Stegostoma tigrinum: one gene and its partners. The protein of the gene in region 3 purifies or fractionates together with the protein of the main gene of each other region. This does not show direct contact. Links are inferred from orthologs where the notes say so. Each region holds a gene or a part of one and is shown on either strand. Other genes may lie near its edges. The genes, in order: histone acetyltransferase KAT5, jun, sirt1 and ezh2.

Evidence for each region.
Region 1: the proteins of sirt1 (region 3) and histone acetyltransferase KAT5 purify together in Homo sapiens (affinity purification with western blotting; 3 studies listed by BioGRID). This does not show direct contact. The link is inferred for Stegostoma tigrinum from reciprocal best matches to the Homo sapiens genes SIRT1 and KAT5.
Region 2: the proteins of sirt1 (region 3) and jun purify together in Homo sapiens (affinity purification with mass spectrometry; 4 studies listed by BioGRID and IntAct, with this or other methods). This does not show direct contact. The link is inferred for Stegostoma tigrinum from reciprocal best matches to the Homo sapiens genes SIRT1 and JUN.
Region 4: the proteins of sirt1 (region 3) and ezh2 purify together in Homo sapiens (affinity purification with western blotting; 3 studies listed by BioGRID and IntAct, with this or other methods). This does not show direct contact. The link is inferred for Stegostoma tigrinum from reciprocal best matches to the Homo sapiens genes SIRT1 and EZH2.

What each region holds. Positions count from the first base shown.
Region 1 is NC_081395.1:3,922,709-3,930,409, forward strand, and holds the start of histone acetyltransferase KAT5, read left to right. Parts: upstream 1-4,694; 5' UTR 4,695-4,910; coding exon 4,911-4,977; intron 4,978-7,701. UniProt on the Homo sapiens protein: Catalytic subunit of the NuA4 histone acetyltransferase complex, a multiprotein complex involved in transcriptional activation of select genes principally by acetylation of nucleosomal histones H2A and H4.
Region 2 is NC_081361.1:56,270,402-56,277,366, forward strand, and holds jun (transcription factor AP-1), read right to left. Parts: upstream 2,378-6,965; 5' UTR 2,099-2,377; coding exon 1,142-2,098; 3' UTR 514-1,141; downstream 1-513. UniProt on the Homo sapiens protein: Transcription factor that recognizes and binds to the AP-1 consensus motif 5'-TGA[GC]TCA-3'.
Region 3 is NC_081373.1:55,234,621-55,242,113, forward strand, and holds the start of sirt1 (NAD-dependent protein deacetylase sirtuin-1), read left to right. Parts: upstream 1-4,471; 5' UTR 4,472-4,510; coding exon 4,511-4,691; intron 4,692-7,493. UniProt on the Homo sapiens protein: NAD-dependent protein deacetylase that links transcriptional regulation directly to intracellular energetics and participates in the coordination of several separated cellular functions such as cell cycle, response to DNA damage, metabolism, apoptosis and autophagy.
Region 4 is NC_081355.1:98,007,055-98,014,186, reverse strand, and holds the start of ezh2 (histone-lysine N-methyltransferase EZH2), read right to left. Parts: upstream 3,010-7,132; 5' UTR 2,726-3,009; intron 1-2,725. UniProt on the Homo sapiens protein: Polycomb group (PcG) protein. Catalytic subunit of the PRC2/EED-EZH2 complex, which methylates 'Lys-9' (H3K9me) and 'Lys-27' (H3K27me) of histone H3, leading to transcriptional repression of the affected target gene.

The DNA of each region.
Region 1 (7,701 bases), on a different chromosome or scaffold from region 3:
GTTAATGAATGATTATAGACCCTTCGCTGTGCACTGGCGTGATTCAGTCCAACCCTGGCCAGAAAAATCATATGTTTTCTCCTCGATGTCAGGAATCTTGCCTCTCTGCTCTTGTTATATTTTTCCCGAAGGGACAGCCCTGTTGTTCAAGAGAGGGGCCAATTCAGACGCCCACATCACCAGCTGTAATTCCTCGTCCACATTTTCCTCCAGCTTCCCTCCTCTTCCTCTCGGCCATTCCTCTCCCCGCCCCCTACCCCTGCCCCTGATGAGGTTATTTGTAATGGGATGGGCCGAAGCACCAAACTTGTGGGTGATATTCGACAAGCTGCACCGTCCTGTGAACATTCCTGTACGTGCTGATGCTGACACAATCTAGGGGTTTTTCTGGCATTGTGTTTCTGTGCTTTGCCGTTTGTACACTGCACAAGAGAGAGAGTTTCATGCTGAGTCGCTGGACTTCACCCTGGACCAGGATCGCAAAATGGGCACAGGAACAATCTTGGCCTCCAGGCTAGCTGTCAATCGAGGGGACCCTGATGAGCAGAAGGGCGTGAGGCTTACTGGGTTTTTTTCCCTCTCTTTTTCATTTACTTACTTTCACTTTTTTATTTACTTAATAAACGCACCTTTCTTTTCTTCTCACTCAGTAAATGTTTACATTTAAGAGAATTGCCATTGTCGAGCCTTCTCTTCAATACCTTTAACCGAATCAGACAAAAAACTGCACCTGAATGCACTCTGTGATCTAAGACATTATTCAACATCTCCCCTCATTCCCCTTGACCCCCCATCCTGTGGGAGTGACTCCCATATTCTACCCACTATCTGGGGGCCACATGATGGTTCTCCCGAATTCTCCGCTGAGTTTATTCGGGACTGACTGACATTGATGGGCCCTGGTTCTCTGCTCTCTCCTCTGCTGCCCCAGCGACCCCACCCCCCCCCACCCCAACTCCCACCCCTCCAACCCCCAAACAATAGGAAAACCTCTTTTCACAATCAGACTGTATCAAAACCTCCTTCTTCATTTTGAAGACTCGGTCAGAGACCTCACCTGCCTCCGCATTCTCTTTTCCAGAGAGCTGGGCTATTACATAAGGCTTTAGGAAGGGCTTTGACAAGGTCCCTCATGGCAGGCTAGTCATGGAGATTAGGTCGCATGGGATCCAGCGAGAGCTACCAAACTGGATTCAAATTTGGTTCGATGGTAGGAAGCAAAGGGCAACGGTTGAAGGTTGTTTCTCGAATTTGGGGCCTGTGACTAGTGGTGTGCCACAGGGGTTGGTGCTGGGACCACTGTTATTTACGTATATCATCTGGATGTGAATGTACAAGGCATGGTTAGTGAGCTTGTGGATGATACAAAATTAGGCGGTATCGCCGATAGTGAGGAAGGTTACCAAAAATTAGACAGGGATCTTGATCAGGTGGAGAAGTGGGCCGAGGATTGGCACATGCAGTTCAATACAGGTAAGTGTGAGGTGTTGCATTTTGGAAAGTCAAACCAAGTTAGGACTTGTACAGTAAACAATAAGGTTATGAGGAGCATTGTAGAACAGAGGGATCCAGGAGTACGAGTACATAGTTGATTGAAAGCGGCGTCACAGATAGACAGGGTGATGAAGAAGGCATTTTGCATGCCGGCTTTGGTCTGTCAAGGCACTGAGTATCGGAGTTTGGATGTTATGTTACAGTTGTGTAAGTTGTTGGTGAGGCCACACTTGCTCTATTATTGTGTATAGGTTTGGTCACCCTGTTATAGGAAAGATATCGTTAAACTGGAAGGTGTGCAAAGAAGATTTGTGAGGATGTTGCCAGGACTAGTAGGCCTGAGTTATAGGGAGAGGTTGGCCAGGATAGGACTTCAATCCTTGGAACATAAGAGAATGAGGGGTAACCTTATTAGGGAGTGTAAAATCACAAGGGGCATAGATAAGATGAATGCATATAGCCTTTTTCCCAGGGATGGGGAATTGATAACTAGAAGGCACAGGTTTAAGAAGGATCTGAGGGGCAACTTCTTCACACAGAGGGTGGTGTGTAAATGGAATGGGCTGCCAGGGAAAGTGGGTGAGGCAGGAACAACAGCAACATTTTAAAACCCTTTGGATAGGTACATGGATGGGAAGGGGACATGGACCAAATGCAGGCAATTGGAACTAGCTCAGCAGGCACCACGGTCAGTATGGACCAGTTTGGGCCTGTTTCCATGCTGTATTACTCTATGACTCTATGACATAAGAAATTGGTGCAAGAGCGAGCCATCTGGCCCATTGAGCCCGCTCCACCATTCAATAAGATCATGGCTGATCTCCCACTTACCCACTGTCTCACCATAACTCTCCTGTTAATTCTGTTATCCTGTTATTCCCTATCCTGTTCAAAAATCACTACCTTAAAAACATTCAACAGGATAGCCTCAACTGCATTGCTGGGTGGGGAGTTCCACAGATTCACAAACCTTTGGGTGAAGAGGATAATAATAGTCAGACATTACTGAAGAAAGGAAAAGCACTGTAGGATCAGCTCATCCAGGTTGGTGATTTCAGAGTGGGGATACAGAACTGTTTTTATTCTCAATCCGTTCAATACTTGTGTGAGTGAAGGGGAATTTTAAAAGGGCTGATAATAGTCAGCATGGTGATAATGGTAAGGGTGATAATTCAGGAAGTTGTTCAGAATGAAACTAATGTTAATAACAAAGGTGATAATTAAGATTATTAACAAAGATAATGTTAATAACAATGGTATTAATTGAGGAGGTTATGAACATCATAGTAGTGTTAATAATGATGAGGGTGATCATTTCTTTCTATTTTTCATGGGATGAGGATGTCACTGGCTGGGCCAGCATTTATTACCCAGAGGCCGGTTATGAATCAACAACATCGCTGTGGGTCTGGAGTCACATGTAGGCCAGGCCAGGTAAGGGTGGCAGTTTCCTTCCCTAAAGGGCATGAGTGAACCAGATGGGGTTTTCCCAACAATCAACAATGGATTCATGGTCATCATTAGACTCTTAATTCCAGATTTTTATCGAATCCTAATTCCAATATTTGCCGTGGCAGGATACAAACCTGGTCCCCAAATAGTTACATACATCTCTGGGTTAAACAGTCCAGCATTAGTCAGCTCCCCTCAAATAGAGGGGATTCTTAATAATGATACTAATAATGTTATTAATAATGACAAGGGTGTTAATTGAAGTTATTAGTGATAATAATGGTGAGGGTGTTAATTGAGGTTATTAGTGATCATAATGGTGAGGGTATTAATTGAGGTTATTAGTGATCATAATGGTGAGGATGTTAATTGAGATTATCAATGATAATAATGGTGAGGGTGATAATTGAGCTTATCAGTGATAATAATTGTGAGGGTGTTAATTGAGGTTATTAGTGATAATAACACTGAGGGTGTTAATTGAGGTTATTAGTGATAATAATTGTGAGGGCATTAATTGAGGTTATTAGTGATAATAATAGTAAGGGTGTTAATTGAGGTTATTAGTGATAATAATTGTGAGGGTGTTAATTGAGATTATCAATGATAATAACAGTGAGGGTGTTAATTGAGGTTATCAGTGATAATAATTGTGAGGGTGTTAATTAAGCTTATCAATGATAATAACAGTGAGGGTGTTAATTGAGATTATCAATGGTGAGGGTGTTAATTGAGGTTATTAGTGATAATAAGTGAGGGTGTTAATTGAGGTTATTAATGATAATAATAGAGGGTGGTAATTGGTGGTTATTGATGATAATGGTGTGGGTGATAATTGGGAAGAATTTAATAATAATAACCGTCAGGTTGACAATTGTGATGGTTATTAATTTCTAATAACGGTCAGGGTGATAATTGAGGTGGTCGTTAATGATAATAACAGTGAGAGTCATAATTGATGTGGTTATTAATGATAATAACAGTGAGAGTGTGAATAGAAAAGGTTATTAATGATAATAATGGTGAGTATGATAATTGAGAAGGTTATTATTGATAATAACAGTAAGAGTGATAATTGAGGTGATTTTTAAAATTATACTAATGTTGAGATTGATAATTCAGGTAGTTATTAATGATAATAACGGTGAGGGTGATAATTCAGAAGCCTGCTAATGAGAATAATGATAATAATGTCAATAATAATGGTGATAATTTACGAATTTATTAATAAAGTTGAGAATAATGGTGAGGATAAGTGAGGCAGTTATTAAAGATAATAGGGAGGGTGATAATTGAGGTAGTTATTAATTATTATAATGTTGATGGTAGAAGTCAAGAATGTTATTAATGATAGTAATATTAATGATAGTAATGGTGAGGGTCATTGAGGTGGTCTTAATAATGGTGATAATTGAGCAGTTTTTATAAAGAAAGTTAATAATAATAGTGAGGATGATAATTGAGGAAGTTATTAAGAATGACAATAAGGTTAATAATTTCGAAGTTGACAATTGAGTTTTTGGTGTTTTGGTGCTGGAAACAGGCACTAAGATAGCCACCTATACACCCTATCTGGTGAAATGGGTGCTAAATGTTGGTGAGTTTAAATGATCAGATTAACCCCCCTACCCCTCTGGCGGGTGAGAGCATCTTCTCCTGGGGGCTGGGATCTCTGGGCACACTCTTTATTGAATTATTTCGCCGTGTTTTTGCGGGGGGATGGCAGGCGGTGCGGCGGCCTCCTCGGCGACGTGAAGGACCCCGAGGGGACAAGATGGCGGCTGCGGCGGAGCGGAGTCGGTGAAAAAACACTTTTATCGAAAGAAATAAACAAACTCCACCGCCGTCCCGTGGCTAAGAGACATCGGGGAGCGGGAAAGACCGAGCGTGATCAACGTCCGCACCGGCATTTTCCACCCGAGTCTCACCCTCTGTCTCAGTCACACTCACCGCCCGGACTAACAATGGAGGTGATCGAAGGATGCCGCCTTCCCGTCCTCCGGAGGAACCAGGAGAATGAGGACGAGTGGCGTGAGTAGCCGACATGGCGGACGGGCGGGCGCGGTGTACCATCCCTCGGACGGGGCTGTTTGCATTTCGTCCTCCATGCCGTGTGGGGGCGCTCCCACTGGAGGACCCTGTGTGCAGTACCTCCTCCAGGCCACGTGGGGCGCGCTCCCACTGAAGGACCCTGTGTGCAGTACCTCCTCCAGGCCACGTGGGGCGCTTCCACTGGAGGACCCTGTGTGCAGTACCTCCTCCAGGCCACGTGGGGCGCGCTCCCACTGATGGACGCTGTGTGCAGTACCTCCTCCAGGTCACGTGGGTAGCGCTCCCACTGAAGGACCCTGTGTGCAATACCTCCTCCAGGCCACGTGGGTAGCGCTCCCACTGAAGGACCCTGTGTGCAATACCTCCTCCAGGCCACGTGGGGCGCGCTCCCACTGGAGGACCTTGTGTGCAGTACCTCCTCCAGGTCACGTGGGTAGCGCTCCCACTGGAGAACCCTGTGTGCAGTACCTCTTCCAGGCCATGAGGGGCGTGCACTCCGGTGGAAGTCTGTGAGTGGAGTACCTCCTCCAGGTTATGGGGGTGCTCCCAATGGAAATCCCTGAGAGCTGTATCTCCTCAGCATCATGGGGCAGATGGGGTGTATGCTCCCTCTGGAAATCCCTAAGTGTGTACTACCTGCTCCACACGATAGGGACAGGGGTGGTGGTTGCACTCTCATTGGAAATCTCTGAGTGCAGTACCTCCTCCACACCATAGGGAGCACTCCCACTGCAACTCCAAAGGAGTAATATCACCACCTGGCCATGGCGGGTGGTTCCCACTGGAAATCCCTGAATGCAGTACCTCCTTAAAGTTTTGGAGGGTGCCCCCGCTGCAGATCTCGAGAAGCAATCTCTCCGTTTAGCCACGGTGGTGGTTCCCATTGGAACTCCCCACATGCACTGCCTCATCCTGGCCACAGGGCAAGGGATGCAGTGCCACTGAATCGCCCTGAGTCTAGTACCTGCATCAGGCCGTGGAGGAGGGGTGTGATACCACTGGATCCTGTGGCATTAGTACCTCCTACAGGCCAAAGGGGTGGTCCCATTGGACCTCTGAGTGCAGTCCCTCTTCTGGCTGTATTGGGTGGGGTTAGGGGTGAGGGGAAGTCGGTTGCTCCCCTTGTGGAGTGCAGTCCCACAGCAATTCATATAAGGAGCAATACCTCCTCGTGGCCATGGGGGGGTTGCTCCCATTGTAACTCTCTGAGTGTGGTACCTCCTCCAGGATGTGGTATGGGGCGGGGGGGGTGGAAATTGCCATTTGGATCTTGCAAAGTGCAGCTCCTTCTGCAGGACTCAGAGCACAGGCTGTTATTGGAAACTCTGAGTGTGATATCTGCTCCAGGACACGGTGGAGTTTGGTGGGCACCCATTGGATCTTGTGAAGTGCAGTGCCTTCTCCAGGCCATGAGTGACGCTCCCAGTGGATCTTCTTTCTGGTCATAAGGAGTGGTCCCACTGAATCTCCCTGGGCACAGTAAATCCTCCTGGTCTTGAGGAGTGCCCTCAATGGAACAGATATAGTGCAGTAACCCGTCCCATCCACAAGGGCACACCCAGTGGAACTACGGTGGTAAGGTACCTCCTCCTCTCCAGAGAGTGTGATCCCGCTGGATCCACCAGAGTACAGTATCTCCTCCTGGCAGGACACACAGTCCCACATCTCCCAGAGTGTGATACCTCTTGCCACTTGCGGGGGCTCTCCAACTGGTTCTGCTGGATAGTTCCTCATCCCAACACTAGATGCACTAAGATAATAAAATGTGAGGCTGGATGAACACAGCAGGCCAAGCAGCATCTCAGGAGCACAAAAGCTGACGTTTCGGGCCTAGACCCTTCATCAGAGAGGGGGATGGGGGGAGGGAACTGGAATAAATAGGGAGAGAGGGGGAGGCGGACCGAAGATGGAGAATAAAGAAGATAGGTGGAGAGGGTGTAGGTGGGGAGGTAGGGAGGCGACAGGTCAGTCCAGGGAAGACCACCTCCTTGACCTGTCCGTCTTCCCTGGACTGACCTATCCTCTCCCTACCTCCCCACCTACACCCTCTCCACCTATCTTCTTTACTCTCCATCTTCGGTCCGCCTCCCCCTCTCTCCCTATTTATTCCAGTTCCCTCCCCCCATCCCCCTCTCTGATGAAGGGTCTAGGCCCGAAACGTCAGTTTTTGTGCTCCTGAGATGCTGCTTGGCCTGCTGTGTTCATCCAGCCTCACATTTTATTATCTTGGAATCTCCAGCATCTGCAGTTCCCATTATCTCTGATACTAGATGCACTAATCCCAGTTTCCTGCCCTCGTCCCAGATCCTTGAATGTATCTATATTTATAGTGCACATCCAAATGTTTTTAAAGGTTGTAATGTTTCCGGTCTCTAATACCTCCCAGGAAGTGCATTCGAGATTCCCAGCACCCCCTGAGTGAAAAGGTTTTCCTCAAATCCCCTCAGAATCTCCTGCCTCTTACCGTAAAACTATGACATCTCGAGATAGACCCTGCAACGAAAGGTAGCAGCTGCTCTCTACTCGCCCTGTTCATACATAGTTGTGTACATCTCATTCTTGTCACCCCCTCAGTCTTCTCTGCTCTAGAGAAAACAATCCAAACCTACCCAGTCTCTCCTCACCGCTCAGTTTCTCCACCCCAGGCTATATGCTGGTGAACCTCCTCTACCCCCTCTAGTGCTATCACGTCCTTCCTGTAGT
Region 2 (6,965 bases), on a different chromosome or scaffold from region 3:
CTTAAATCCATATGCTAGACTTTAATTTGTTCCAAATATTTAACATGAAGATTTTATTCAGTCCATACATAATAATGTATGTAGGGTTATTTTGGATTTCTTATGTGACGTATTATGAAGAATTTAAAACTTTATAAATAACATTAATAGGACATTATAAATTAAAAATAGTTTGCTGCTCTTGAGCAAAGACATCGGCAATAAGACTTTAGCACCAAGTCATAGTGTACATTTAGACCCTTTGAAAAACAAAAGGTGAAACTGAAACGCCCAATATTATTTTCGAATAATGTTGTGAACTCTATAAGAAAATGTTTTCATTCTGAATATTCCGCCTAGCAAGTTAGAGTGAACACGCGAATTTCGCCTGTTTCAAGTTTGTTAGAAAGAAACTTGACCACAAAGGACAGTTCTGTACATCCTTGATGCTAGATATACTTTCACTCCTCAGTTAAGAATTGCTGCAATATCACTGAACATTATATGCCAAGAAAATAGAATACAAAATATACGTATCTTTTCAAATACTTTATTTATACATTCTTAAATATAATTGAACTTTTTCCAGAAGTTCTCAGAAACGGAACATAAAAAATTATATATTTTATTACAAATGGTAAACTTAGAGTCCTCCAAATCTCTTATTTACAAGAATAAATTGGGTTTTGCCCCAATAAGCAACATAAAAATAACTTACAAAGGCTATCGCTTGAAGCGGTTATGTTTTGTTGACAGAAATCATCTTTCATGAAACAAAACATAGTCTGTACATTTTTCAAGGCAAAACGACCTCAAAAGCTTTAACCTCCCTTTATTCCCTCCCACGCCCTCCCCCACATTATACTACATCAGAAGCGATCTACTCTATCGCAGTTTTTAATTCTGTAATACTGGATGATCTTGAACTGCTTCGGTCCATGCAAGACTTGGTCATAGTAAAACAATGACTCGAAATTTAGTTTTTTTTGCCGCAAACAGCATTTCAGTCAGACTTTTTTTTACATCAAGCACAGTCCTCCACGTTTTCCTCCGTACATGCGCGCTCAGGGCGCAATCAGGACTTTTCTTCTGTCTTGATCTATTTAATTCAGTCCTCTTCTTTGCATTTGTTCACCAATAGTTCTCCACTACAGTTCTTGAATCAAAACGTTTGCAGCTGCTGCGTTAGCATGAGTTGGCAGCCGCTGTTTACGTGATTCATAACTTTCTGCTTCAGCTGGGCAACCTGTTCTCGCAGCAGGTTTGCTGTGGACGCTAGTTCAGAGTTCTGCGCCTTTAAGGTTTTCACTTTGTCTTCCAGCCTGGCAATTCTCTCCAGTTTCCTTTTACGGCACTTTGAGGCGGCGATGCGGTTTCTCATTCGCTTCCTCTCGGCCTTGATTCGTTCCTGAGATTCCATGTCAATAGGAGACAACGGCGGGGTCTCCCCGGGCATCTCGGGCACCGTCTGAGGTTCTTCCTTCAATGCCTGAAGTCTGGGATGCTGCACAGGCATTTGGTGGTTCATCGGATGATGCTGGGGTGCTGCATAGTTCATATTATTGCCGTTGTAGTTAGGCTGCGCGGTGATCGAGTTAGGGTTAAAATTGTTGAGATTAGCGTAGACCGGAGGCTCTTGGTGCAAATTTGAATTGTAAACAGTACTTGCACTGGGCAGAGAGGCAGAAACCGCGATCGCCGTATTTGCAGACGGAGTTGAACATGTCACGTTGGGCAGGATATTCTGTTTATGAAGTTCTTCAAGAGCTTTGACAAAGCCTTCAGCAAAACCCTCCTGTTCGTCCGTGACATTTCTGGGGCATAGGAACTGGGTCGGTGTTGGGGTGGTGGTGATCAGTCCATTGCTGGACTGAATTATAAGACGTTCAAGTTCAGGTGATGCGAGTTTGAGAAGTCCCACGTCCGGAGACGTTAATATACCTTCACTGTTCTTGTTCCTCAGATGGGGCTTCAAGTTGCTCGCTGGATCAGACAGGTTCAAAGTCATATTTTGTTTCAACATTTTCGCACTGTATCCATAACCACTATTTTCAGGCTGTGCAAAAGCTGCGTTCAGTGCATCGTCGTGGTAGAATGGCTGTTCCATCTTCGTAGACATAGAATACCGATGGAAGAAAACTCTTTGATACAAAAGTGTTTTAAAATAGATGTAACAGAGTTCTTGAAGAGTTCGAATAAGTCTACTCGGTTACCTGTTAAGCTCACAATTTCAATAATAGAAACGTAATTTGGGAAATCAGTTGATTTCTTTTCCCACTAATTTCTCCTGCTGTACCAGTTTTCAGTAAGAATGCTACCAAATCAAAAGAAAAGTGTTCAAACTACCAAGTTCCTCCAGCTTGTTTCACACTCAGCTCTGAGCACTTGCAGCGTGAGTCCCAAGCTTATCTGCAACTGGTAATAGACCCGAAATAGCAATGAGGTCATCTCGGCTCCTTCCCATTGGTTGGCTATTACGTATGGGCGTTTTAGACTTTGCATGTCCGCTCGGTTTCCATAGCAACGCCCCAGAAGATTCTAACTATCGTGGGGCATGACGGGCTGAGGTAATGCAGCGTGGAGCATCATGGGATGACGTCTTTATTTTGAAGATCCAGTTACCCGCTTTGGTGGAAGTCGGTGGAGTGGCGGGAAGAGTGCTGGGATTGATTTGGTGGCTTTCCCAGAATATTTTGTTTCACCCACTATCACTTGGGCTCATTTTATTTTTGTCCTCTAACTTGCTTTCTCACCCCACCTCCGCCCTGTTGGTAGTTATGTACCGCGATGATTTTACAAAGAGTGGGTGTTTGTGTGTCTTTTTCACCGCGCTGAAGGCGGGTCTAGATGGATGTGGGCCTGACCAATGGGAAGCTGCTTGCTGGTGGCGCTGTGCCCAATGAGAAGGTCCTGGAGGCGGGCCAACTTTCGAACGCAAACCGTCAAGGCGCCGTCCGTACCATTGTGACGTTCACGTTGACAGGCCGCCTGGGCACCTAATGGAGGCGCGACGGCCTGTTGCGCTCCCACCAATGGCAGTGACGTGGAGGCGGGTCCTCGGTCAAAGTTGGGTTGACCTAAGGTTGACCGTCTGCTCCCGTGAAATGGATCCGAGTGGGTTTTGATGGTGGTTTAGGAGTACCACCTCCCCACCAGCCGGCGCACTCAATGCCCTTTACCAAGTGCTAAGTGAACGACTAGCTTTTCAACTGTAGGCCACCACTGTCCTTCACTATTGCCTGGCAAAAGCGTTGTGCTTCTCACCGTGAAGTGACTGCGATTGTTTTAAACTGTACATCGATTTATTTTTCGGGAAAGCGCGATGATTATTAATATGTAGGAAGATTCCTCCCGTTTAGTTGAGCCTCCCCATGTTTATGCAGCTAGGTGGTCATTTTCGTAGTCTACCCTGAAGCAACTGTTTCTATTTAGGCGAAAATTTTCATTGGCGAGAGGAAGCCCCTTCCAACTATATTCTTAGAGCTTTTGGCGACTTTTTTTTGGTGACATTGTGTACCCATTTTTAATCAGCAACCACAACGCTAAATAACCCACCCAGCCAGTGAAACGTGAGCTCTCTTATCCAGGGAGGATACAACAACAGACTATCTGCTCTGTACTGGGTTCTTCAGAAAATTAAAAGCTGTCTTTCCTCTGGTGTGCTAAAAGATCGGGATTCAGTGATCATAAGCACAGTGATTAGATAAATAGCTTTATTTTGCTGAGGGATCATTCTGTACAGCATAAAAGTATAACCTGTTAAGATTGGAAAATATATTTTAACAGTTTAACTTTAGGGTTTTCTATCTGTAGGCTAGTGTATCTAATAGGTACTTGCATTTATAAAATAAAGCTTCTTTAACTAGTCGGTACTCCTAAACTGTATTTGGCAAACAATTTTATGTAAGGCATTGCGCGCATGTCTAAACCTGCCCTCACTAAATGCTTACACATTTACACACGTGTTAGCAAACAGGAGGAAAGGCTCGGGTAGTTTAAGTCCAGACATGCTGCAGCGTACCGGACTGATCCTGGTACAGATCAAAATGACTTGGTATAGATCAGAGTTCAAACATGACATCTAATACATTTTGTAACTTTGCAGATGATCCAATCTTTAATTTGTTTTCTCCAAAAATAATTTTAGATGCTTGTTTTATATCAAAATGAGTTCTTTTCAGGTGTAGATTAGAATAATATCTCAAAGAATGAATCACAATGAGTGACGTTCCTGATTTTTGTAATTAATCCACATTTGCAGGGTATAAATGTATTTGGATTAATGCATTTTCGACACTCCTTCAGTTGATGCCTCTATTTACATACTGATTTGCAAACAGATTTCGGGGTTTTTGAAAATAAATTGGGCAGCACTTAATGATTTTGAAAGGTATTGATGTCTGCATTTTCAATGATATTCTGCTGCCTTTATTGATTTATTTATTTGTTTTCAGATCGCTAAGAAATCCTTTTTAGTGGAAACTTTGGATTGTGGAATGACACATCTATTTCCTTTTGGCAGTATGTAGTCATACAAAAGGTGGGCAAGATGATGAAAATGCCACATTCTTGGAAGCTGATTGAGCAACTTTAGACAATTATTGGCCTCCTTGTGGGTACTGGCATCCTACCAGTGCCCCTCCTGTGTGGAGAGATTGCCCAGAGCCCTGGTGGATACCATTAGGGCTCTGAGGTGAATGACGGTAGGGGGAGAATGTTATTTGGAAGTCCACTTTGCCCCGTGAAAGGACTATCTGCCAATGACTGCCTTGGTCGCAGTAGCATTACATGCAAAATGAATCATGTGAGCCCTTCCTCCACATCAATGATCTCCTAAATGTATCCCTCACCAGGACCTGCTTAACTATCCCTGGTGATCTGAAGCCCTACTTACTAGATTGTGAGGTCTACTAATGCATTCTTCTGCTCCAAATGCAGCATCAGCATTGCCCACTGATCCAGGTGGTGCTGCAATTCCTGGCGATGGGCTTCCAGGGAACAGCAACTCCAGATGTGGCCACGTAAGTGGCTGGAACTCATAAAATACAGACCCTCATTTTGTTGCCTATGTAAAGTTCAGTGCTTTATGTACAGATGAATATCCTTAACACATTAAACAAGAAATGTAGGTCAAATTAGCCTATATTAACCCACGTTAAGCAGAATGGAACATTGAAAGAATTAATAGCTGCCCGCAGTATTAAACACAGTTTATTTTGAGGATTTATTTTGAGCTAAATTGAATATAATTTATTACAAATGTCTATGTGTTGCAGTAGTTCTAAAAAAAAGCTCATCTGTTTATATTTACAGAGTGTGCATTTTGAAACCATAAATTATTTATGTGGAATTCTAAATTTGAAAAGATATGTGTCAATTTCTCGTATAATTTGTATTTCTCCCTTAGACTTCCTTACCTTCTCTCTTTGTACTATGTGAGTTGCAGGCTGTTAACGTTGGAGATGTTCTTCTGCGCACACTTTCTGCAAGCTGTGTTAGTGCCAGTTTCATAGTCACCTTGACAAGGCTGCCTTTTTCTACTGGGATTTGGCAGCACTGTCAGGAATAAATGCTTCAAAACATTTGGGATACCCCTTTTAAGACTTCATATAAAGAACCTAGTGTTGTAAGTTGTGCATTATAGAGATAGGTTGCCTTTTACTTTCATACTGGCAGCTTTTTTTTGTGGATTCTTAATGCAATGCAATTTATGGCAAATTACATTTTAATATTTTATATCATTAAATAATTTTGAATTAGTCCATTCCATTCCGCAGAACCAGATACAGTGCTGCTTCTATCCTTATGGGTATGAAAACATACTGAGCAATATAATTCTCCTGTATACGTTTCAGAAATTCTTTCCCCTCTTTGCTGTTTATACTGTTGAGTACAAAATTCAAGGCTGAAACTTTAGTGCAATGCAGAAGGAGTGCTGCATTGTTGGAGATGCCATCCTTTAGGTGAGATATTTGCATGAGGTTCAAATGTCTGCTGGAATATTGTAAAGAACATAAGTTTATAGGAAAAGGAGTAAGCCATTTGCCCCCTCAAGCCTGCCAGCCGTCTAATAAGACCTGGTGTGAGCTCCGTATATCCCTCAATGCCCTGATATTTTAAAACATATTTGTACCTCTCTTTTTAGTGACCTAGTTTTCATAATTGCCTGGAGTAAAGACTTCCAATATTTTCTACCCTCTGAGAATAAATTCTTCTGTATCTTGGTTTTAAATGAATGACCCTTTATTCTGTGACAAGTAATAACAAGAAGTAGGATTAGGCCATTCGGTCAAAGCTCCCAGGTCACTAGTTCAAACAATAGCAGTGAAGCACTTCTGGCATCCTGGCCAATATTTATCTCTCTAACAGCAAAAAGCATTGTTATTATTCACATTGCTGTTTGTGGGAGTTTATTGTGCTCAAGTTGTCTTTCCTAACATTTCTAACATTATTAAAGCAGCTAAACTCCAAAAGTAAAGATAACAAAGTGTGGAGCTGGATGAACACAGCAGGCCAAGCAGCATCTCAGGAGCACAAAAGCTGACGTTTCGGGCCGAGACCTTTCATCTGGTGAAGGGTCTCGGCCCGAAATGTCAGCTTTTGTGCTCCTGAGTTGCTGTTTGGCCTGCTGTGTTCATCCAGATCCACACTTTGTTATCTTGGATTCTCCAGCATCTGCAGTTCCCATTATCACTAAACTCCAAAAGTACTTCGGTAGATTCATAAGTCAGCGCTTTGCCACCTCTAGTAGGATGCTGCCACCAAGCAGACATCCCTTTTCTACAGTTTGCTTGCACTTCATTCGATTTAGTTTACTCTATCTATTGCTCACAATGTGATTGCCCCTACATTGAAAACACAAAATGTGTGACCCTGTTGCAGAATACCTCTGCTATTTCTGTAAAAATTACCCCAAAATTCTGGTTGCCTGCCACTTAAATACTATATTCCCATGGCAATATTTCTGTCTAAGGACTGCTACCTCC
Region 3 (7,493 bases):
CCTATCACTTTACCCCCTCACTCACCACCTTAACCCTCCTGTCACTCAATCCCTCATCTTCCATAACACACCACCACCCCATCCCCTCATTCTCCTGTCACTTGTGTTTTACCCACCTGCCATCTGGGGGGGGGTGGAGGCAATTAGATCAGTTGGAGGGAGCATTGGTTTGTGCTGCAGAGCATTCATTTCCCACATCAGCTGAGGTTACCATGAAGATCCTACCTTCTCAACCTTGCACCTCACCTGACTCTCAGGTTAAACCTACCGCCGACTGTCTCTATCCAGTGAGTGAGTGTCCCTGTGGTGAATGTTAACTTAGGCATCTGCCGCAACGTCCCAAAACATCGGCAATCGCTGGAAAAGCTCAGCAGGTCCGGCAGCATCCGTGGAGAGAAATCAGAGTTAATTTTACTGGGCGAGTGGCGCTTCCTCAGAACCAAGCTCAGTTCTCACCTTGACCCCGAACGGTAACTCTGATTTCTCTCCACAGATGCTGCCGGACCTGCTGAGCTTTTCTAACAGTTTCTGTCTCTCATTTACAACTTTTTTCTGGTTTTGCCGAAACAACACACCAGCTGACCGTATCGCCCATTTATTTTAAAGACTTACCTTCACTCAACAGTTTCTCTTTGGGCATTTAATGGAATGAGGCAACTCATACCATCAAAAAGGAGCCCTAGTTTCCACAAGAGGCTCTCTGATGAAGGGTCTAGGCCCGAAACGTCAGCTTTTGTGCTCCTGAGATGCTGCTTGGCCTGCTGTGTTCATCCAGCCTCACATTTTATTATCTTGGAATCTCCAGCATCTGCAGTTCCCATTATCTCCGAGTGCCTTGTATTGCTTGGGTGAGGAGTGGGGTTGCCGAATGGGCAAGAAACAATTTACCCAAGAACATAGCAGAGACTTAGGAATTGGGAGGGGCAGAAGTGAGTGAGCTGAGGCCAGAGAGGTTAGGACACAGTGTCACATCACTACCTAGCCCTTGGAGGGTTTGAGACTCAGCAAAATATCGATGGTAATGACAAACAAATAGGCCTTATAGTTTATTTCAGGTTTACAGCATCTGTGGCATTCTCACTGGATCACCACCATAGTGCCAACTACTGCCTTCAGTAGGGTATACGTATCAGAGATAATGGGGACTGCAGATGCTGGAGAATCCGAGATAACAAAGTGTGGAGCTGGATGAACACAGCAGGCCAAGCAGCATCTTGTGCTCCTAACATGCTGCTTGGCCTGCAGTGTTCATCCAGCTCCACACTTTGTTATCTCGGGTATACGTATCTGTTGAGTGCTTATGTTAGCTCCTACAACTTAACAAGGCAACAGTGTAATGAATGAGGTAACTGACACTACTGAAGCTCCTGGTACATACATACATTACAGTTGCAGGTACTTCAGTGTTTAGGCTAAGATGAAGCTACTCAATTACAAATGGTAGCATCTTCAAGTGGCCCTGGTTAACATGGAATATGAGACCTTTATACCCTTAGGTCGCCTGGCATGATGTGGCGATGATTTCATGAGCACATCTCTTCGAAATATATTACATACAAGCTGTGAGACATAACAACAGACCATAGAAATTCAGTGCGGGACAGAACAACAAATGCTTCAAAGAAGGTTACACAGAACTGATGATGCCATCTACAAGGGAGACGAAATATTTGCATTAAAGCCAGTCAGCTCGGCGAACCAACCAACAACTCCAATGTAACAAATTATCTAACGTGGGGTGGCACGGTGGCTCAGTGGTTAGCACGGCTATCTCACAGCACCAGGGACCCTGGTTCAATTCCAGCCTCAGTTAACTGTCCGTGTGCAGTTTGCACGTTCTCCCCGTGTCTGTCTGTGTGGGTTTCCTCCGGGTACTCCGGTTTCCTCCCACAGTCCAAAGATGTGGGTTGGCCATGCTAAATTGCCCATAGTGTTCCGGCATATGTAGATTAGGTGTTATGGGGGATGGGATGCTCTGAGGGCTGGTGTGGACTTTTTGGGCCGAAGGGCCTGTTTCCACCCTGTAGGGATTCTAGGACCGAAGTTCTGACAGTGCATTCATGCCCACGCATCACACTAAGTCAGATTTCTTACAAGTTAGGTTAGAAGTCATTGCACAGGAATGAAATGTCACAAATGAACTATGTGCCCATTAGAGTTCCCATATATCACTAACCAGTTTGGCAAGAATTGGAGGATTTGCTATTTTATTATCATCATCAACAGTCTGCATTTATACATTGTTTTTAATATAATATTGATTACAGTAAAAATAGATGATCAATATCAAATCCCATCATCTAAGAGTCATTCCTGAGACCCTTTCCAGAGCAAAACACTGGTTTTAAAAAAGGACAGATATTGGCTGCTGTGATCACTTGTCCAGTTTGAGCCAAATTCATGAGCACATCAATAGACAAAGATTAGTGAGCTGAAAGTAACATTGTTCTAAATGCCACTGAACATCCTGACTGCTTCACAATTTCCTGGAAGTTACACATTGGAATCCACAAAAGAATTCTATTTCAGGAAATTGCTTTTGAGCAGAGAGAGTGAAAAATATGAAATAGCATACTATAACCAGGAAGTCTCTCTCCTTTTTCTGAAGAGGGATCCCGGCCGGAAACATCAGCTTTCCTGCTCCTCTGACGCTGCCTAGCCACCTGTGTTCATCCAGCTCCACGTTATCTATCTCAACCTCAAGATCATTGCCCAATGATAAACAACTTGTAAACTCATTGACTAAAATCCCAAATCTACAGATTTACCTTTACTGCAAAATAGAAGTCAACAATTTAATGTTTTATCAAAGATCTGTAGCTCGGACTGCATTTGGAGTTGTTGATTGGCGTGTCGAGCTGATTGATTTTCATGCAGAGACAGTAGGAACTGCAGATTCTGGAGAGTCTGAGATAAAAAGATGTACAGCTGGATGAACACAGCATGCCAAGCAGCATCAGAGGAGCAGGAAGGCTGACGTTTTGGGCCTAGACGCTTCGTCTTTTTCTGATCAGGGTAATAGAGCAGAATGCAGAAGGATAGGAAGATGAAGGAGGCAAGGATCAGTGCCAAACCAATACACTATCCAATACATGTTGTTCCTGTAGTCAATTCTGCAGGTTGTGAGGGATTGCTGGTTGGTATCACTGAGGGGTGGTCCACACAGTTGTGACAGTAACATATCCTTAATTGATGAATTGGTGAGACCTGATGAGTCAATCAGGATCACTGCAGAGCTAACCAACCAGGGTAGTGACAAGCAGGTAGGCAATAGAATCTTACAAAAGAAACATTCACCCAACACCCACTCTTTCTTTCCCTGTTAACCACCCCGACCAAACAACCTCACAGTCCCCCAGTGAAAAACAACAGAATTTGAATACAGTGGACCTGCATTTTGAAGTACACAAGATGGTTTGGAGCAGTATGCTTCATTCATAAATTATGCTTGTTTATCCTTATCATCTCCCCCGTGAACAACCGCTTGCACACACCCCTCTCCCCATCCCCACACCCACTCTACCCCTGTAACCCACACCCACCACCCCCAGCCCCATCCCCAACCCCCTTACGCAGACCTTCCACCCAACCCCCCTTATCCACACCTTCCAACCCCTTTACCCACACCTTCCATCCTCTTCCGACCCTTACCCACACCTTCCACCCGCATCCCCTTACCCACACCTTCCACCCGCATCCCCTTACCCACACCTTCCATTCTCCCTTACCCCCACCTTCCACCCCTCCCCCATTACCCCCACCTTCCAAACCCCCTTACCCCCACCTTCCACCCCTCCCCCATTACCCCCACCTTCCACCCCTCCCCCATTACCCCCACCTTCCAAACCCCCTTACCCCCACCTTCCACCCCTCCCCCATTACCCCCACCTTCCACCCCTCCCCCATTATCCCCACCTTCCACCCCTCCCCCATTACCCCCACCTTCCACCCCTCCCCCATTACCCCCACCTTCCACCCCTCCCCCATTACCCCACCTTCCACCCCTCCCCCATTACCCCCACCTTCCACCCCTCCCCCATTACCCCCACCTTCCACCCCTCCCCCATTACCCCCACCTTCCACCCCTCCCCCATTACCCCCACCTTCCACCCCTCCCCCATTACCCCCACCTTCCACCCCTCCCCCATTACCCCCACCTTCCAAACCCCCTTACCCACACCTTCCCCCCCTTACCCACACCTTCCCCGTTACCCCTTTACCCACACCTTCCACCTCCCCTTACGCAAACGTTCCCCTAAACCCCCCCCTTACCCACACCCTCCTCACCCATACTCCCCCCCACCCCCACCCCCACCCCCTCCCCCTCCCCCTCTTTGCGTACTCTTTCCCCACTCCCCTTACCCACACCTTCGATCCGCTCCCCTCCCTCAACCCCATTTTCCTCACCTCACCCTCATCCACCCAGCCCCCGGGCTCCTTTTGCGCAGGCGCGGCTGTCGGTGCCCCCTGACCCCAGGCCCACGTGACGGCTGGGGCGGTGCTGGGGAAGATGGCGGACGGCGATCAGCTCCGGAAGAGAGCCCGGCTCGACGGCCCGGCACCAGGCCCCGCTGGCACCGGGGACCGCCGGCGGAGGGCGCCTGGCGCCGAGCAGCAGGACTCCGCCACCGACAGCCGGCACGATCTGCCGCCGAGTGACAGCCCGGAGAATGGGGCGGCGCCGGGGGAAGGTACCGGGGCCTGGGGCAAGGGCAGGTGGGGGTGTGGTGTAAGTGTAGGGAGTACCGTGGAGGGTGATTGAAGCCTGTGTGCATGGGTCATGTCGAAAGGGAAGGTTGGTGTGGGAGAGGTGGTATGTGATGGTGGGCTGGGAGAGTCTGGCACAGGGGGAGTGAGGCAGGGGGTGTGTGTACTCTGGGGAGGAGAGCAGTGGGTAACAAAGGCAGACAGCTATCAAATGCAGCTGAGGTAAGGGGTGAGGTGGCAAAGGGTGGTAAGTGGGTACTGAATGACATTTGGCTGATTACAGGAAATAGGGCAGGAGGTGGCACCCTGGTATTACCATTAGACCCTGGCGTTGTACTGAGTTCAATTCCCACCGTGGCAGATGAAGAGCTTTGAACTCACCAGAGTCTAATTGCCACGAAACCATTGACCGAAAAATCTGTTTGATTTGCTGATGTTCTCTAGGGAAGGTAACTTCTGCTCTTATCTGGCCTGGCCTACATTACCCCAGTTCTACTGCAATATTTTTGAGAAGACTTGTAGCTCAGGTTGTGGATGAGGTTGTTGGCTTGCTCTCCAAATCGGTGTGTTTGATTGCAGACACTTCGGCACCCTGTAGGTAACATTGTCAGTGCGCCCCGGTGAGCACTGACAACATCATCTAGCAGGATGACGAAACATTTGCAATCAAACACACTGGTTCGGCAAGCAAATCTACAGCCTACAGCAATATGGTTGACTTTTCCCTGCTATCTACGACTGACTTGTGAAAATGACTAGAACGTCTTATGGAAGAAGTAAAATCAGACTACTACCTCATTTTGACCTAGGTACCAGAAACAGCACCAGCAAACACAGCTCTGCTGACCCTGCGAAACCCTCCTTAGATACACTGGGGGCCAGTGCTAAAACTGGGAGAGCTGTCTCACACTCACAGAATCATGTCTTGTAGATGATGTCCCACTGTCAGGCAGACGCAGCAAAGCTGGTCACACAGCAGTACATATTTGGGGTGGTGTTGTGGGAGTGGGGGATGTGTTTGGGGAAGGGTGATGGGGCCAGGGAAATTACCCTGGGTGTCCTCAACATTGACTCCTCATTGGAGTCTCAAGGCACTAGGCCAAATGTGGACAAAAAATTTCCTGCTGATTACCACATGCCATCCTCCCTTGGCTGATGAATCAGTACTTCTCCATGTTAAACAATACTTGGAGGAAGGAATGAGGGTGACAAAATGTACCCTGGGTGTGGGATTTCAGTATCCACCACCAAGAATTTCTTGATAGCTGCACTACTCATTGAGCTGTTCGGATCCTAAAAGACATTGCTGCTAGACTGGATTTGCAGCAGGTGTGAGGGAATAAAACAAGAGAACATAGCTGACGTTACCCTCACCAATCTCATCCCCTCAAATCTGCTATACCGCAGATGCATCTGTCCATGACAGTATTGGTAAGCGTGACCACCATACAGTCCTTGTTGAGACAAGGCCTGGTCTTCTTGTTGAGAATACCCTCCATCGTGTTTGTGTGTCACTAAATGAGATTGACTAGATCTCACAACTGAAGACTGTGCATCAGTGAGACAACATGGATCATCAACAGCAAGAGAATTCTGTTCGAACACAATGTGCAACCTCATGGCCTGGCATATTTTCCCCACTCTGGCTTTGACATCAAGCCAGAGGATCAACCCTGATTCAAGTGCAGGAGGCCATGCCAGGAACAGCAGCTATCATTCCCAAAAAATAGGTGTCAACTGGTGTAATGACGAAGCAGGGCTACATGTGTGTCAAACAGCATCAGCAGCACGTGATAGACAGAGCTAAGCAATTCCACAACCAACAGATCGGATCTAAGCTCTGCAGTTCTGCCACGTCCAGAACTGAATGGTGGTGGACAATTAAACAACTCACTGGCGGAGTTCCATCCTCAACAATGGGGATGGCTACCACACCTGTGTGAAACATAAGGCTGAAGCATTTGCAAAAACCTTCAACCAGCATTGCCAAATGGATAATCCCTCTTGGCCTTCTCCAGTTGTCCTCAACATCATATGTCAGTCTTCAGCCAATTCAATTCAGTCTGTGCAATATCAAGAAACAGTTGAAGACATAGGATCCTGTGAAGGTTCTGGGTCCTCACAACATGCCGATAATAGAACTTTGAAGTTTGCATCACATATGGGGTGATTAAGAAGGTGTTAGCATGCTTGCCTTCATTGCGCAGACTTTTGAGAATGGGAGCTGGGACATTACTTTGAGGCTGTACTGGACATTAATAAGCCCTCTTCTGGAGTACTGTGTCCATTTTTGATCTCCCTGTTAAAGGAAGGATATTATTAAACTGGAGAGGGTTCAGAAGAGATTTACCAGGATGTTGTGGGAACATAGGGCTTGTGTTATAAGTAGAGGTTGCATAAGGTGGGACTTCTTTGCTAGAGGAGGTTATTATCATTATTTTATAAATCTCTATGGGAACTATAGTTAAGGTGAATGGCAGGTGTCCTTTCCCTAGGGTGGGGATTTCAAGTCGGGGGGAGCATATTTTTAAGGTGAGAGGAGAAAGATTTTAAGGAGACACAAGGGTTTTTGTTTACACACTGTGGTTTGTGTGTAGAATGAACTTTCAGAGGAAGTGGTTAATGCGGGTACGGTTACTACATTTAAAAGACACTTTGGGTAAGTACATGAGTAAGAAATGTTTGGAGGGATATGGGCCAACCTCAGGCAAGTGGGACTAGATTAAGGTCAGCATGCACTGGTTGGACTGAAGGGTCTGTCTCCATGCTGTTTGACTCTGGAATTG
Region 4 (7,132 bases), on a different chromosome or scaffold from region 3:
CAAAAAGTCTGCTCCAGTGCTGTACAGCTCTACGAGTGTGAGGGACAGAATGTTTGTGTTGAATATTTTCTTGAAAATAACCTACCCAATGAGTATTAGTTTCAAGAGGCTCCTTGGAACTTTGTTATGGTGATCAGGAATGCAGTACCCACAAGACTGAGCTTATACCAGGAGTGTACACTGATCATTTCAGACTGAAATGAAGAGAAAAATCTTCACTCACTTGTGAAATTTTGGAATCATCTGCAACAATTACCACATAAGCCGTTTCTGTTTTGTTCACTGAAAGATAAACTGACCTGTATATTTTACATCACCCAAAAGAGTGAACAGTGTTTTATGTCATATTTGTTTTGCAAACTTCAAATGGAAACATCTTCTCCACACATATCCTGTCCAAACCACTCATGAATTTCAAAACATCTCAGATTTCCAAGTCATTTTTCCTGAAAAAAGTTCTCTGTTTAATCGATCACAAGAGCTGTAATCACCTAATCTTGCAGCATTGAAAATCATTTCCATACTTGTCCCAGTACTTTATGCCTTGCTCTAGATGTACTCCGTACTCAATACATAGATTTGTTTAATACCACTTCATGACTTAATTTAAATACTGCTACAAATAAATGGCACTGCTTTATCATTTCTAATAATTTTGACTGTCTTCAATGTTGCTTTTAATTATTTGTCTATTTCCATTCCTGGATTAATATGTTCCACTAACTTCTAATTTTCTAAAAACATAGGTAATGTTTTTCTTTTTCCGCCCCACAGGTTATACTTACTCAACTCATTTCAATATTAAAATTCACTTGTCATTTAACTTCCTAGTCTGCAGCTTGCATTTGTGCTCAGTGTCAGGTGTGCTCCCTTGGTGTCATTTGCAAATTGATCTAGAATCCCTTAATCTTAAAGCCAAATCATCAATATAAATTATGATGTTAGTCCTAGTGGTGATAGATGCAAAATACTTGTTCTGATCTCTACCCCTCTTTTCCAACCAGTTACTTACGTCCTGACCTCATGTCCCAAATTTCATTGGGTCTGTGTTCACCCTCTTGAAGGCCTAACGTGTACTGCATCTTTATAATTTGCAACAGAATGTTGACATTTATTGCAACCAGTTATGTACCTTTAATTTTTTCAGCTACAGCATGGATTTTCAAGGGCCACATGTGGCCATAGCTGAAAAAACTGAAAATGAATGCATGGCACACAGATTGGCACAGACAGATCCTCAGAACAAACATGCAGGCACTCAGCTCATAGGTTGCATTGGTAATGGGAACTGAATGTGAAAGGCAGTTTTACTGCAGCTTTTACTGCAGGGCCTTACTGAATCATCATCTGAACCACTGTGGAGCCTTCTGTTCCCTTTAATTGAGTGATATAATTGCATTCAAAGCAGTTCAGAGAAGGATGACTCAACTCAGGGAGAGGGTTTACACTATGGTGTAAAGGCTGCTGACCATCATCTTCTCAAGGGCAAACAGGCCAGCCAAGTACATCCTAGAAGAAAATTGACTCCCTTGTCATGGAACAGAGATGGTGGTGGCATCAATGACTCTGAAGCCAGATCGGTATTGATTTTAGTGAATGGCAAACAGGTTCAAAGGGCTAACCCTGTTCAGAAGTCCTAGGTTCCCACACACACCCTGTGCACTGTTAGAACTTCACTGAGGTAAGCACTCAGGCTGACCTCAGAGATAGTAGGAACTGTGATGTTGGAGTCTTAGATGTGAAGCTGAATGAACACAGCAGGCTAGGCAGCTTCAGAGCAGGGAAGCTGACGTTTCTGGTCTGGACCCTTCAGAAAAAAAAAAGACGGGTCCAGACCCTAAACGTCAGCTTCCCTGCTCCTCTGATGCTGCCTGGCCTGCTGTGTTCAGCCAGCTCCACATTTGATTACCTCCAGGCTGACCTCACTGTTCTGTTTCTTGACGTTATACCATTTTAAGTGTAGATTCGTGCAGCTCCCCATAACACTGACATCATATCGACTGGTTTCTCAATCCCAGATTTTGATTTTAGATCTCTTTCGTCATAATAGGGGAATGATACATCACGGGAGGCAATTCAGTTCATCATGTGTATGACTTCTCTGAAAGAACTACCAATTAGTCCCACTCCTCTGCTCTTTCGCTATAAGACATGCGTTTTTTTTAACCTCCTACTTGTTACATCCCACTTGATGACTCTAGGTTTTCTCATCACGCCGCTAAACGAGTTAATCACCATGCCCTAATTCCACTGCCAAGCGGAGGAAGGGCATCCCCCGGAGTAACTGAAGGGCGGAGAATTAGTAGGGAAGAAGGGGAGGGGGGGGCAGAAATCAACTTCCAATAGATAAAGTTTATCCCCCATTGGTCTGTTCAAACTCGGCAGCTGATAAAATTGGAGCCGACTGAAAACACTGAATCGCTCCCCGAGTGAATGACAAGATTAAAGAATGATTTACACAGTCTGATCGGATCAGGCCTTCAATCTGTCCCTTTATTTATGATTGGGAATTAAAGGAAACATGTTCCGGGGAATCCGGCGCTACACCCGCTGCCCCTCGGGGAGGGGGTCGGTGGGGGAAGGCTGGAACCTAACGTGGCGAGCGCGCGGATTCCAAACGCTTGGCCGCCAGCTCTGGCCGTTGGAATTCAAATTTCCGCCAGCCCAGGGCTTCCGCAGCCAACCGGACTGACGGAGACTTCTATTCTTGCCGCCTCTTCCTTACCTGGATGGAGAAGCAGAAGCTGATCCCTGCTGACCTCCTCCTTCTCTGCCGCTGTCAGCCGGGCTAACTTGGAGCCGAAACTTTGCGAGAGTTTTACTGGGTGAGTTTACAGCCGGGTTACGCGGGTGTCAGGACGGTGATCGGGCCGGCCGGCAGCCGTTACTCTCACGTCCTCGGCTGGGTGGCTGACTGCCTCTGTCTGTCCCGCTCGCACTCCGTCTCCGAGCTCTCACTCTTCTTTTCTTTCTCTCCTTTTGTCTTCGTTCTCCGCCCGGCTACACAGATAGGGCGCGAAAACAACGTGTCCAATCCAATCAAACTTTGCTGAAGCCTGCTAACAAACCCTTCTTGCATTGGGCGCAGGAGGCCCACTTTCCTCCAATCTGCATTAACCTCGCATGGGAGTGTGGGATGTGACCATGTGGTGCTTCTTTGTGGGGCTTTCAGGGGTGGTTTTTTTTATGTGCCCGTCGTTCTGGTAAACGTTGAGTAAGTCGCGCTCGTGGAACTTGGATCTGTCAGGACGGAGCTACATCGAGATGCGATGTCAAGGGATGACTCAAGCTATGCGGGTGTATCCTCCAATTGTAATGTGCGGGTTTCTATTTATAGTTCCTTGTTCCCCAGCCTGAAAATGAAGATTCCTGTCACCATTGGCTGCTTGGCACCGAGAGTTGCTGCTGTTGCATTTTCAGTTTTGAGCAAGTTCTACTAGTGAAAGGTTACTAACTTCACGTTCCGGATTCACTCTTATGTTTCAGATGGAGCTGGGCGTAACGATGCGAACATTTTCGCTTTCTCTTGAAACCATTTTCATTTTGTTTTTCCGCATCAGCCTAGACACCCCCGTGAATTGAGACTTTCCGGTCTGTCTTCTACTGGAAAGGCTGTATGTAGTCCAGACAATGAAAGGATCAAACTTGCTCGGGGTTCTGTCCACAGTAATAGTTTGACACTACATTCAAGTGAATTATGGTTATCTGTGAGAGGGATCTTGGCACGTGTAGAAGCAGATCCCTGCCAGGGTTACTACCTTCAGGAACAAAAAAAACTTAGATGCAGCTTAAAACGAACGAATATTTTGTCCGAAGTGCAACCATATTAAACAAGTTATTCAAAAATGTTTATGCGAACATCTATTTCTGTGCCTTTGTTGAATGTGCTTCAATATTTCACTGGGTTTAGTTAGGTGCTTTTCTGGTCATTCATTTATTCTACATCTCTAATTACCCTTGAGAGGTGGTAATGGGCTGCCTCCTTGCAATCCATGGAGTGCACCCACAGTAGGGGAGGTTGCCACAGAAGTCATTTGGCTGTAAGGAAGTTGCAGGGTTTCAAATAAAGAAATGGCAAAATAGTTTAATCAGGATGGTTTGTGGGTTGAAGCGAAACTTACAGATAGTGATGCTCCTAAGCATGTGTTGCACATTCCCTTTTAGATGGTAGAGGGTGCAGGTTTGGAAGGCGCAGTCAAAAGAACCTTGGTGAGTTGCTGAATGCATCTTGTAATTGGTGTACAATGTTGCCATGATCTGTCAGAGGTGAAGGGAATGAATGTTGAAAGTAGTGGATGATATACCAGTGAAGTATCCTTTGTTATGGATAGTGTCAAGCTTTTTGAGTTTTTGAGCTGTAGACATTAGGTAAACGGAGAGCATTCTATCACACTTCTGATTTGTGTCTTACAGAGGATGAACGGGTTTTATGGAATCAGGAATTGTGTTATTTGCTGAAGAATTCTTAGCCTCTGACCTGCCCTTGTCCAGCCACATCAATTCTGTGGCTAATAGTTCAGTTTTGTTCAATGGGAAGCTTGTGCTGGTAGTGGGGTTTCAACATGGTAATGTATTTGAAAGTCAAATGGAAATGATTAAATTCTCCCGTGGCCATTGATTGGCACTTGCATTACGTGAATGTTGCTGCGATTTGTCAGGCTTACTTATCACCTGAAGCATCAACATTGTCCAGGTCTTGCTGCTTGGGGATATGGATTCGTCAGTATCTGAGGAGTCACAAATGGTCCTGAACAATTCCCTTGTGTTAGGTAAGCCTCCAAACATAGAATGTTTTCCATATGATTCCCATTGATTCCATTTATGCTAGGGTTCCTTCACAGAATTGATGTTGCTGGACAAGGGCAGGTCAGAGGCTAAGAATTCTTCAGCAAATAACACAATTCCTGATTCCATAAAAGCCGTTCATCCTCTGTAAGACACAAATCAGAAGTGTGATAGAATGCTCTCCATTTACCTCATGTCTACAGCTCAAAAACTCAAAAAGCTTGACACTATCCATAACAAAGGATACTCAAATGCTGCCTTGATATCAAGGATCATCACTTTAACCTCACCTTCAGTTACCTTGTCGATGTTTAGACCAAGGATATGATGAGTTCCAGATCTGAGTGGAATTGAATGCAATGAGAAAATTTTTGCTGAGTAATTGGTACTTGATGACACTGTCAGCAACTCCTTTGGTCACCTTGCTGATGAGGCAGTCATTGGACTTGCCCTGCTTTTTGCATATACCGTACAGGACGTGCCTAGGCAATTATTACATATTGCTGGTTTGATGCTAGTTTTATAGCTAAATGGGAACAGTTTGGCTCGGGGCATAGCTAATTCTGGAGGACACAACTTCAGTACTGTTGCCAAAATGTTATCATGGTCCAGCACTTTTAGCCGTTTCTTAATATGTGGAGTGAATTGAAGTCGATAAAGCATGGTATTTGTGATGCTAGAAATCTTAGGAGAAGGCTGAGGTGGATCATCCATTCAGCATTTCTGAATGAAGATTGATGCAAATGCTTCAGCCTTGTTTTTAGTCCTGAATGTACTGGTCTTCTCTTCCAACACTGAGGGTGGGATATGAGGCTATCTGAGATAGAAGCAGGTTATTTGGCTGATTGAGTCTGTTCCACCATGCAATTAAGATTGATTTGATAATCCTCAGCCTTGAATATACTTAACAACACAACTTTCTCAGCCTTCTGTTGTAAAGGTTTGCACAGATTTACTGTCTTCTGAGAGGGGGAAAAAACCTTCTCTATCCTAACTGGGAAACCCCTTACTCTGAGATTATCCCCTCTGGTCCTAGACAAGGGTATACAACTTCTTTGTCAAGACCCCTAAGAATCTTAGTTTGGTCATTAGTGTGCTGTTGTGCCACTTTGGTGATTTATGTTGAAATACCTAACCCAGAATGCATTCTTTCCCCTTGCCATGTTCTCCCAATTGGTGTGCAACATGAAAGAGAACTGATTCATCAGTTGAGGGAAGGGGAATTAGTGTGAGGTAATCAGCAGGATGTTTTCTTGCCAATGTTTGGCCTGATAGCATTAAACTTTGTGGGGTTCAGAGTCAATTTTGAAGACTGCCGAAACATTTCCCTCCTGACTGTACCATTCTGCCACCACCTCTGGGTGGTTCCGTCATGTCAACAGGGCAGAATATTCTGAGCTGATTATGGCAATGTCTGAGAAATAATCACGCTTGCAGAATCATACCTGCAGATAATGTGATCTCTCAATTTTGGCACAAGCCCCCAAATATTTGTAAGGATTACTTCACAGGGCTGAGTTTGCTTTGTTTCCAGTGCCGAGATCAATACCAGGTGGTCTGTTCAGTTTCATTTCTTTCTTGAGACTTCATTGTGGCTTGGTACAACTGAGTGGCTTGCGAGGCCATTTTAGAGGGCATTTAAGAGTCAACCATGTTGCTTGCAGGTCCTTAGTCACAAGTTGACCAGATCAGGTAACGATGGCAGATATCCTTCCCTGAGAATGTTAGTTAACCAGATGGATTTTTAGGATAGTAAACAGTGGTTTCTTGGTTACCATTAATCTAAGTTTAAATTACAGTTTATTTTTGCAAACAATTTGCTTATTTTCTTATTATTTACTCCCATTCATTCTCTCTCTCTCTCGCGCTCGAGGACAATATTATTTTATTGTTCGTTATTGTTTACCCAGCAAACAATGTGGATTCTTGTATTCAGTACAAGCTTAAAACTGAAGTATAAGGATATAAAGAGAACTCCCTTGAATCTCGTTTCTCCATGTAGTTTTGTGAAGCACATCAAGATATTTAAGTACATAAATGGTGCTATACTAAAAAAGTTGCAATTGTAGCTAACAAACTTCCAAATGAATGCAAAGGGCAATTCTGTGCATGTAAAAATGCCAAATGAGGACACAATTGGCAATAACTTTGGCCTACATTGTGGCTTAGATATGACAGAACACTTACAGCAGATTAGAGGCCAGTGCCTGTGTTGAACAGTTTTCTGAATTGCCGCTTTGTGTCAAAAAGAAATGGAAAACAAGCAAAAAATTAGCGGTTGAGTTTTAGTAGCTTAGGGACCATTTATAATTGAGTCTTCTAAGAATAACAGTCACTTAATCATTCC